Linked DNA regions of Caenorhabditis elegans. The protein of the gene in region 1 purifies or fractionates together with the protein of each later gene. This does not show direct contact. Each region holds a gene or a part of one and is shown in the gene's direction. Other genes may lie near its edges.

Evidence for each region.
Region 2: the proteins of Y49E10.30 (region 1) and ceh-51 fractionate together in Caenorhabditis elegans (co-fractionation; one large-scale study listed by BioGRID). This does not show direct contact.
Region 3: the proteins of Y49E10.30 (region 1) and T09A5.14 fractionate together in Caenorhabditis elegans (co-fractionation; one large-scale study listed by BioGRID). This does not show direct contact.

What each region holds. Positions count from the first base shown.
Region 1 is NC_003281.10:12,385,366-12,388,363, forward strand, and holds Y49E10.30 (uncharacterized protein), read left to right. Parts: upstream 1-1,531; coding exon 1,532-1,749; intron 1,750-2,280; coding exon 2,281-2,356; downstream 2,357-2,998.
Region 2 is NC_003283.11:18,872,432-18,876,527, forward strand, and holds ceh-51 (Homeobox protein ceh-51), read left to right. Parts: upstream 1-1,701; coding exon 1,702-1,955; intron 1,956-3,025; coding exon 3,026-3,476; 3' UTR 3,477-3,551; downstream 3,552-4,096. Other genes in the region: emb-4 (Intron-binding protein aquarius), read right to left, coding at 195-535. UniProt on the Caenorhabditis elegans protein: Required for mesoderm development, including specification of muscle and coelomocyte precursors.
Region 3 is NC_003280.10:7,830,373-7,833,406, forward strand, and holds T09A5.14 (Neuropeptide-Like Protein), read left to right. Parts: upstream 1-1,981; 5' UTR 1,982-2,018; coding exon 2,019-2,189; intron 2,190-2,244; coding exon 2,245-2,280; 3' UTR 2,281-2,531; downstream 2,532-3,034. Other genes in the region: cex-2 (Calexcitin-2), read right to left, coding at 2,695-2,814.

The sequences.
Region 1 (2,998 bases):
TTTGATTATGAAAAATAGTATCAAAATAATTCAAAGCGTCATCAAAAAATGGGTTTTTTTTCAAAATAGATATAATCTGTTTTTTCTATTTCTAGTGGCTTGCACCACTCTAAAAACTTCCTAAAACAGTTTCTGAAATAAGTAAAAAGTTTTCAAATCCCCAAACTGTATTACAACATTTTTTGTTAAGATTTCTGTTGATTTCCGATAGTTTTGGAAACATTCTGAAAACTCGTAGTTGCTTATCCAATATAGAACTTTCCAAATTCTCAAGCTATCAGACTAGAAATTTAAAAAAAAACCACGGACTGTAAAAGGGTACCTCTGGTCAAGACTGACGAAGCTTTAGAACCTGATTAGCCACAGGAATTTAAAAATGTTTTCTGAAAGTAAAATTGAAAATTAACTGATTTCAAAAAATTTCATCAAAACTCAAATTCAATTTTTTCAATTTTTTTTCGAAATTCTATTTGAGATATTTGGCTAACAATTTTTTGTCCGAATTTGTTCAAGTGTGTCGAATTAATTCACTTAACATAACTACTCACAGAGCCTGTGCTTAAAGCATTTTAAATTATTCGAAGAACTTAATAGAAATCAATGAAATTCAGTACTAAATCAAAAAATCTTGGTAAAGTGGAAAGTTTCAAAATAAAACTATTATATATCCAAAGATTTGTTCAATTGCATTAAACAATCTTTTTGACTGTTTTCTTTCAGGAAATTAACTGAAAATATACTTTACTGTGCTCGTTTTTGAGATTACGGCCAGGTACCCATTTACAGCCCGTGCGGTCGTCTCCCCCTTCTTCCCACAGGTCCACAACGCCCCCTTCCGGCAGCCCTCTATAGGAGACGATCTCACTTTTGTCTGTGTCTCCGCCTCTATCACGCTCTCTCTCTTTCTTGGCTCAGGGGAAACGCCGGGTTGATCGTGTTTGAGTTGATCGTGTTTGAGTTGATCGTGTTTGAAGCGGATTTCCGATCTAAATTTTTATAAATTAAAAAGAACCTTTTTCCAACAAAAAAACAAAAAAAATCCAAAGAAAAGAGTTGAAATTCTCTTCTCGACTTTTACTCAATTTTCACTCGACTTCTAGAATAATTATTCTAGAAGAAGTACGCTTTCCAACTTTCCTTCTCTTTTTTCTCACCCCAATCCCTTCCCAAATCCCTGCACCTGTTATGTTATGCATGCTCCCCTTTGTGTTTGAACATGGATCGCCGGATCGAACGATGGATGGATTCTCTGGAACTGTTACTGGAACAGTCTTTCGTGCTTCGGACAATCAATGGACACTGCTACATCCCTCTCTCTTTCCCCCTCCCCCTCTTTGTTGGAAAGTTAGTACGAAACTTCTGAAATCAGAAGTTTCTCAATCATTTTCTCATTTAGTATCAAACTTCTAAAAACAGAAGTTTAAATATAACACCGCTAAGACAACTGTCTGAAACGGGAGATCGGAATTGAGGCTTAAACACATCATACACCGTACTCAGAGGTAGCGAATAAAGGCTAATGACCAACATCATGCTAGTACTTCTGTTCCTAACGAACAATGAGAACCGATGTTGGGCCCATACTGCGATACGATCGGGCGGTTCTTGCTCTATGGAATACTTGGGTGATGATGTGCAGTTCTTACGGTGTAGAGCATCACATGAAGAAGCAACTCCTATTCTAAGCTATCGCCACCACCTGCATAATCACCAAGCAACAGCAAGAAGCAGCAAAGGACGACCGAGAACGTAAGATTTTTTTTCAAAATTTTTAACATTTTTGATTCAAAAATTCGAAATTTAGTTCTCAAAAATCAAAGATTCCAAAATATTGGAATCAATTTTTTTCTGCCAAACCCGAATTTTTCTTTTTAAAAAATCCTGAATAAAAATTTCTGAAAATTCAGGATAAAAAAAAAACCCAAGAGCTAAATATTTCAGTGGATTCATTCGGTCGGGTATTCCGGAATGGCTCCGGCCACAAAACTGTGCCTTACAAAACTGTGTTTTCCGCAACCATCACACGGTTTCGAAATGGAAAACATCGTTTTACAAGGCACGATTTTGTGGGCGGAGCTAATCCGGAATACCCCGACCGAATGAACCGCCCCCGGCATTCTTCCCAGGAGGCCCAAAAGGCCTTCTGGTGAAGTGAGGGGGACGGCTGACCGCGTGCTCTTCTACTTCCCAGGAGCAAACTTTTCGAATATGCGGCCCCATGTGAAGAACTTTCTTCTCAGAATCATTATTTCCGGTAATTAAAAAAGTACATTTTTACAGAACAGAAGAAGAAGGAACAAACGACGACGGAAAGAAGACATGGACAAAAGGTGGCGATAGTATGGAGTTGAATTGAAACGAGATCTCACTCAAAAGATCTCGAGCGACGATGGATCGGGATGGAACGATGGATTCAAATGCGACGATTGGGATCGGCGGACGGGATGGATTCGGGATGGATGAGGATGGATCGGAATGGATCGGGATGGATCGGGATGAATCGGGATAAATCGGGATAGATCAGGATGGATCGGATGGATCGGTATGGATTGGGATGGATCGGTATGGATTGGGATGGATTGGGATGGATTGGGATGGATGGATCGGGATGGTTGGTTGGAATCGGGTGGAAGCGAGAGCAACGACGACGACAACGACAACGACGACCACAGCAAAGGATCGGGATGGATGAATCGAGAAAAAAATTAAACGATGCTTCAGATAATCTGATTTTTACAGACTTTTTTTACTTTTTTACATTTTTACATTACATTTTACATTTTTACAGACAGACGCGACGACGAACATCAGGATGGGTGGATCGGGATGGATCGGGATGGAACGGGATGGATCGGGATGGGTCGGGATGGAAGATCGGCATGGTTGGATCGGGAGAAGGCGAGAGCAAGGACAAGGATGACAACGACAAGGTCAACAAAGGATCAGAATGGTGAGGAAAGATTTAAATTATGCTTCAGCGAAACTGATTTTTTACAGA
Region 2 (4,096 bases), on another chromosome or scaffold:
TCGCCAATTTTCCGAAAAAAATCTGAATTTCAGCAAATTGAGCTCAAATGCCAAATTTTTCTTGTGAAAAGTTGCAATTTTCATATGAAAATTTGCCAATTTCGCACGAAAAATCGTTTTTCGGTAAATTCAACCGTAAAATTCTTAATTTTCACGTAGAATTTCTCAAGAATTCCCCAAAAAAAAACACGCACTGAGCCCTGGCTCTTCCCTGTCGATCCAACTGCACATTTGGTACACTAAGCCTGACTAATCTCGCAAATAACGATTGTTCCATATTCGAATATTTCTGGAATGCCTGATTCTGTACAACTGGCGGCAGCTGATGATGATCTCCAATCATAATCCATCGTTTCAGTCGATTGTGTCCGTCTTGTGGATTTTGTAGTAACAATGGGATAAATGTTTCAACTTCAAGAATTTGAGCGGCTTCTTCCATTACGATATTATCGTAGCGGAAGCCGAGCTTCACGAGCTCATTTCGACGGAGAGCCGCGTGTGTACAAGTCATTGCGATGATTTTTGCCTCTTTCACCTGAAAAAATCCAGGATTTTTATAATTTTCAGAGTGTTTTTGTTGTAATTTCGTCGAAAAACTCTAAAATTTTCAAATTTAACATTTCGAAATTTGAATTTTAATTATATTTTTTCTTTTTTTTGCAAAATTTTGTATATTTTATTTGAAATTTGTTGTAGGTTGTAGTTTAGGGAGCACTATATGCCTAGATTCGATATATTTTTTTGCAATTTTCAACATTTTTTCCAATATCTTATTGATCAGATAATTTTTATGTCAGTTGTTTTTTTCTTTTTTGCTTTTTTAAAAGTTTTAAGTAGGCGGGCAATTGTTGTTCGGAAAATTCGGCGAATTCCGGCAAGTTTTTACCCGTTTGCCGGAAATGTTCAATTCCGGCAATGTGCCGGTTTGAAGGAAATTTTCAGTTCCGGCAATTTGCCAGAAATTTTAAATTCCGGCAAATTTTTGCCGGTTTGCAGGAAATTTTCAATTCCGGCAAATTGCCCATTTTGCCAGAAATTTTCAGTTCCGACAATTTGCCGGAAATTTTCAATTCCGCCAATTTGCCGATTTGCCGGAAATTTTCAATTCCGGCAAATCGCCCATTTTGCCAGAAATTTTCAATTCCGGCAGTTTGCCAGTTTGCCGATTTGCCAGAAATTTTTAATTCCGCCGGTTTGCAGGAAATTTCAAATTCCAGCAATTTGTCGATTTGCCAGAAATTTTCAATTCCGGCAACTTGCAAATTTGCCGGAAATTTTTAATTCCGGCAAGTTTTTGCCGAATTGCCGGAACTGCAGTTTTTGACTGAAATTGGCTTAAAAATAAGCTTTTCAGACCAAAATTTCTACCGTAATCCAACACAAAGTACCAAAACTGCCAAATTTTGGCATTGTCCGATTTGTACGAAAAACTACAAGAATCAATCGAAAATTCGCTTTTCCGTGGAAAAACTTCACATTTTTCCAGATTTTCAGACAATTCTGAAGAACAGCCGGAAAATCTCACCCAATTCCCAGGTATCTCACCTCTCCGGTGTCACCTTTTCCCGGTCATGTCTCCCGCCAAACAAAATCGCACCTTCTCGCCTCCCCGCCTACCTAGGCAGCAATGCTCCGCCTAGATTTACAGCCTCCCCAGCTGGAGAATAGCCACTATAATTCCCCCAATTCATTCCACACAAAATGTCATCATCCAACTATAATATTAATAACGGCGGTGACTATTATCCTTTGTCTTCTTCGAATCTTAATTCAACTTCTGCTATTACTAATGCTACTGTAATGGAATATTCCACAATGCCAAGCAGCTCTCCGGGCTCAATGAGCTCATCGCCAGCCTATCCGGCGGCCTATCAGGCTCCATCACCGTGCTACGTGGCGGATCCCAATCAGCTTTACTATCAACAACAGCTGGCTCATAATGGGAATGATATGTTGTAAGTTTTTTCGATACTTTTCAGTACAAAACGGGCGTTTTAGAGTGATTTTCACTACGTTTTTCTACCGAAATGCGTGAAGAACCGCTAATTTTAATGGGGTTATTCAATTAGCGTCGGAAAATTAAAAAGTGTAGAAAAATTACGTCACAACTGTATTAAAATACATTTAAAAACATGTATTTAAATACATTTTGCAAGTAACATTTCTTGAATAACCCCATAAGTTTTGACAGTGGGAAATTACTCAAAATATAGCTTTTTCACACTATATGGCCGCGAACGGGCATTTTTAGCAAAAAAAAACTTTGTTAGCTGCTTTGTTGCAATTAACAGCTCTAAAAATTCCAATTTGAACTATTTTGGTAGCTGCAATTTTGCAATTAACAGTGTCGAAAAGTCCAATTTGCACAAATTGGGCAAATTTGGTAGCTGCTTTTTTGCAATTAACAGTGGCCAAAATTCCAAATTTAGGCAATTTTGGTAGCAGCTGCTTTTTTTGCAATTAACAGCTCCAAGAAGTCCAATTTGCACAAATTGGGCAAATTTGGTAGATTTATTGCAACTAGCAATGTCGAAAATTCCAATTTGAACTATTTCGGTAGCTGCTTTTTTGCAATTAAAAGCTCCAAAAATTCCAAATTTATGCAATTTTGGTAGCTGTTTTCCTGCAATTAGCAGTGTCGAAAAGTCCATTCTGAACTATTTTCGTAGCTGCTTCTATGCAATTAAGAGCTCTTAACAATCCAATTCAGGAAATTTTGTTTGCTACTTTTTTTGCAATTAACTGTTTTCAAAAATTTCAATTTTGAACAATTTTCGAAGCTTCTTCTTCGCAATTAGCAGTGGCCAAAATTCCAAATTTAGGCAATTTTGGTAGCTGCTTTTTTTGAAATTAACAGCTCCAAGAAGTCCAATTGCCACAAATTGGGCAAATTTGGTAGCTTCTTTTTGGCATGTTAAATTTACAGCGGCAAAAATCCCTATTTGGAAAATTTGATCACTGCTTATTTGCAACAAAATTCATCTCCGTGATCGCTTTTCTTCCGAAAATTCCTTTTTTTTTACAGAGTTCAAGCCCATGCTCAAGCCTACCAAGCTCAATGCTTCGCCTGGTTCCAGCAGCAGTACTCACAACTCTCCCCATCCTCGTTTCCTCATCCTATGGTGGCTCATCACGCTGGCTTCATCCCACCACCGCCGTCTTTTCTACATCATCAGCATCAGCAGCATCCAAGAGCTCCTTCAGAAAAGCGGAGAGGCGCTCGAACTCCGTTCTCCGATTCTCAGCTTTACGCGTTGAGAACCAGATTTGAGCAGTGCGACACAATAAAGGTTGACGAGCGACGGAAGTTGGGAGCAGTCATCGGACTTTCGCCCGAGCAGATCAAGATTTGGTTTCAGAATCGGAGATTCAAGTTGAGAAAGGAGAAATACAAGCAGATCAAGCAGGACGCTGTGCAGCAACAGAAATCGGCGAAGGAGGAGGCGGAGGAGGACCAGAAGCATGTTATTTCTTGATTTGTGTAGCTTTTTGTCACTTGTATTATTGTGTGCCCCCAATAAACGATGTTCGATTGAATTGAAGAAAAAAAACCGCGAAATTTGAATTTTCAGTGTTTTTGAACCTTTTAGAACATCAAAATTAGTAGAAATTCCACAACTTCAAAATTTTTGTCTCAAATTTACAACTCTCCGAGCATGTGTATTATAGGCGGTGTAGTCGATTTTTTTTATTGCTTCATTAGACTCAAAATTGTCTGAAAACACAGAATTTCATAATGAAACTTTTTTGAAAACTTCTCAAAAAAAAATTATGACGGCTCAAAAAATGGCCAAAAATTCGTTAAAATTTCAAATTTGACCGACGACTTGTCAATGTCGTAACGGCTGAAGGCAATTTTTTTTTTGAAATCACCGTCAAATTTTGAGTATACAATGTAATTATCTTGCGTTTTCAACTTCATTTAGGTATTTTAAAGTCCATGGACTACGGCGAGATTTGGTTTTAAAAATTTAAAAATCTCTTCGTCCATCGATTTTAAAATACCTAAATGGAGTTGAAAACTCAAGATAATCATGCTGTAAACTCAAAATTTAACGATGATTTCAAAAAAAAATGTTTCCAGTCGCTGCGGCAT
Region 3 (3,034 bases), on another chromosome or scaffold:
GTTCGTTACATGTTTTATATAGATTAGATGGTTTTTGAAACATGAGAATCCGAGAAAAACAAGGACATCAAAAAATGAAAACAAGATGAGAATGAGTTTTCGGTTATTGCTCCTTTGAGCACTGAAAATCATATATGCATAAAAGTACATCATATTTTCAACTTTTCATAACAGAAACTTTGTAGCTATCTTATGTCTGGCTGCTATTTAAAAAAAAAATCAAAATTATAAGGGTATTTTATGCAAACATTCAGTAAGCCTTTTGGATATTTTAACTTTTCGAGAAAAAACTGAATTTGTCTCACCCAACGTGATCAAAGCGGCTCCGATTTTTTCAAGGAAAAAAAATGGTTTGAAAAATGTCCGAGATCAATTGTTCTAGTTCAAAGTTCTCTTCTGTGTATTTTTAGTAAACATATTTCATTTCACTTAATTTTTATTTTGTATTTGTATTTGTATTTGATTGAAACAAACTTTAAAAAAACCTATTCTGTCTGAAAATAATTTTCCCCCTAACTATATAATTTTTTTAAAAAAGATTATTGTAGAAATGAATATAATCTCTACCAAATAAAGCAGTTAGATCATTTTTTAAGACTCCATTGTGCTAGAATGACTAAAAGGAAAAGCTTTCCATAAGACATAAAGTTTTTTGTGCTATTCAAAAATTATATATATATTTATCAACAAAAAGACGACTCTCCCACAATCAGTAGTCTTTAGAAATCATGCAACCAATTTAACTCATCCTTCATATATTTTCTCTGATAAGGAGAATAATAATACAAATCCAAGAAGAATTTATTTAAAAATTCACACCCTATCAATATCTTGTTTACCATTTTGAAGTGAGGTATGTGAACGAGAAAATCTGCAATAAATTAAGTACTTTATCGGTCAAAACTGGATACGGATTGGTGTTTGATTTGAAATTCTCGGACAAACTGGCTTTGAGATTCTTTATTAAATCCTTGAAGATCCCACTATACTAGTTGCTTATTAAAAACTTCAAACACCCACAACTAGATTTGATGAGTGCGATGATGCCTCGACAAGCAATCCAATTTAAAAGTACCGTATCAAATTATGTGAAATCTTCAAAAATTCATCGTGAAAAAACAGTTAAACATCTTTTAAACAAATTCCAAGAACTGTGAACCACAGGAAATCTGATTTCCGTGTTTGTCTTGAATTTTGCGAAAAAGGCGAAAGATTACGAGTAAAGATGGAAATAGATGTGTCTACTAGGAAATGAAAATGTTTTTTCAAATCAAATAAATATTTTCTAAGGGAATAAAAACGATTTTTGAGATAAATTGGCATTTCACGAAGAGCCTAAAAATTAAAGAGAACGATTGTTTATGTAATCATTGTGAAAAAACGTTCTAAAAGTCCAGCTTATGACAAACAATTTAAATTTTTAATTGTCTCCCTGTTTTAATTTCACCTGGAAGAATCAGCGTAAACTCCACAGACTGGTAAACCAATTAAAGACGTTCCGAAGTGGGTGCTAGCAGCTGATGGATCTTGCAATTTTCATATTGGAGTAAATTGAAAAATTATCCAAAAGCTCTAAAAATTGAAAAAAAAATCAAAAGTTTTGCCGTTCTTAATTTAATAAAATTATCTTTTCGGACCATCAAGTTCCTAGATGATATCATAATATCTTTTGAACCTCTCATTCCCACGCAAAGAAACTGCGTTGAACATTGTTTCGATTATTCATGATATATGTCAAAAGCATCTGTCATATTAAAATCCGCTTATGTCTCTCTGTCATCATTTGAACATGTCTGCTAAAATGTTTTTTATTTGCATTATCCGATTACCACCCTACTATCATTCATCCGATTTCCAGCAAAATCCTCCTCCCCCCAAATAGGCGGAGCTCGAGAAGAAAGTACTGAAATGGGCGGAGCAAGTCGTCGTCTGCTTTAATCTGGCACATGCGACATATAAAGGACTTGCTCTGTGGGTGACACCAACTCAGTTTCATACACCCTTTGCTTTCTTCTATAATGCGGATTTTCATCTATTTTCTTGTTCTTTGCAATGCAATCTGCACTCTAATGGCTTATGATATTCGAGATTTTGAAGTAATCCGACAGAACGCTGTTCGAAATATTGCAAGTCTAGAGAATATTCTTGAACAAAGACTTCCTTCTCACAGACATCATAAAAGTCCAAAGGTTTGTTTATTTTATTAATTATCTGAAACATGTTCTTACTTTCTCATACTTTCAGAGTCGACGAATTGGTGGAAACATTGTAATGGGTTAGAATCACCATATTTGATCTACTTTAATTGTTGCACTTCTTCACATCATTTCATCATTTTCCTGTTACAGTCTAAACGGGTCTCACAACGACTTCCCCTTCTCATCGGGTTCCATTTCTACTATATTGTAGTATAAACAGACCACTGTGTATTTTTTTTTGATTTTTTGATTTTTTTTTCTGTAAACTTAGTTAAGTTTCGATTAGTTTTATTTATTGAAAGAATAACGACAATAAATCGTTTAAAAGCTCATTGCATATGGAAGTATAAGTGATTTAAATGTATGTTGCGGGGATTGGGGAAAGAATTTGGAGAAAGGGGAAAGGAGAAATCGAATGAAACTATAAAGATTTCAAATAAAAAACACACCGGTACGAAATTAGTCAAGAATAATACATTATAGGTATTTATTTCAATTAAACTTTTCCTAAGAGCCAATTTCCAGGGCTAGATGGATCTTCTGAATGGAAGAATTGTTTCCAAAGAACATGGAATTTCTTTTTATCAATACTATTGATAAGTTGACCTTGATGATTCTGAAATTTAAGTTATTAAGGTTTGGAAACTTTTTGAACTGAATTATTTTCAAGTTTTAACTTTTAAAATTTCATATGGCACCCAAATAATTTATGAAATCATTAGTCTGGGCAATAGATAATATCAGGGAGGAAAGCACATCGAAAACGAGTTTAATTGAGATGCTACAGTTCTTTAGGTACAGTAGCCATGAAGAAATTCGGAGTTCGATAGAGCAAA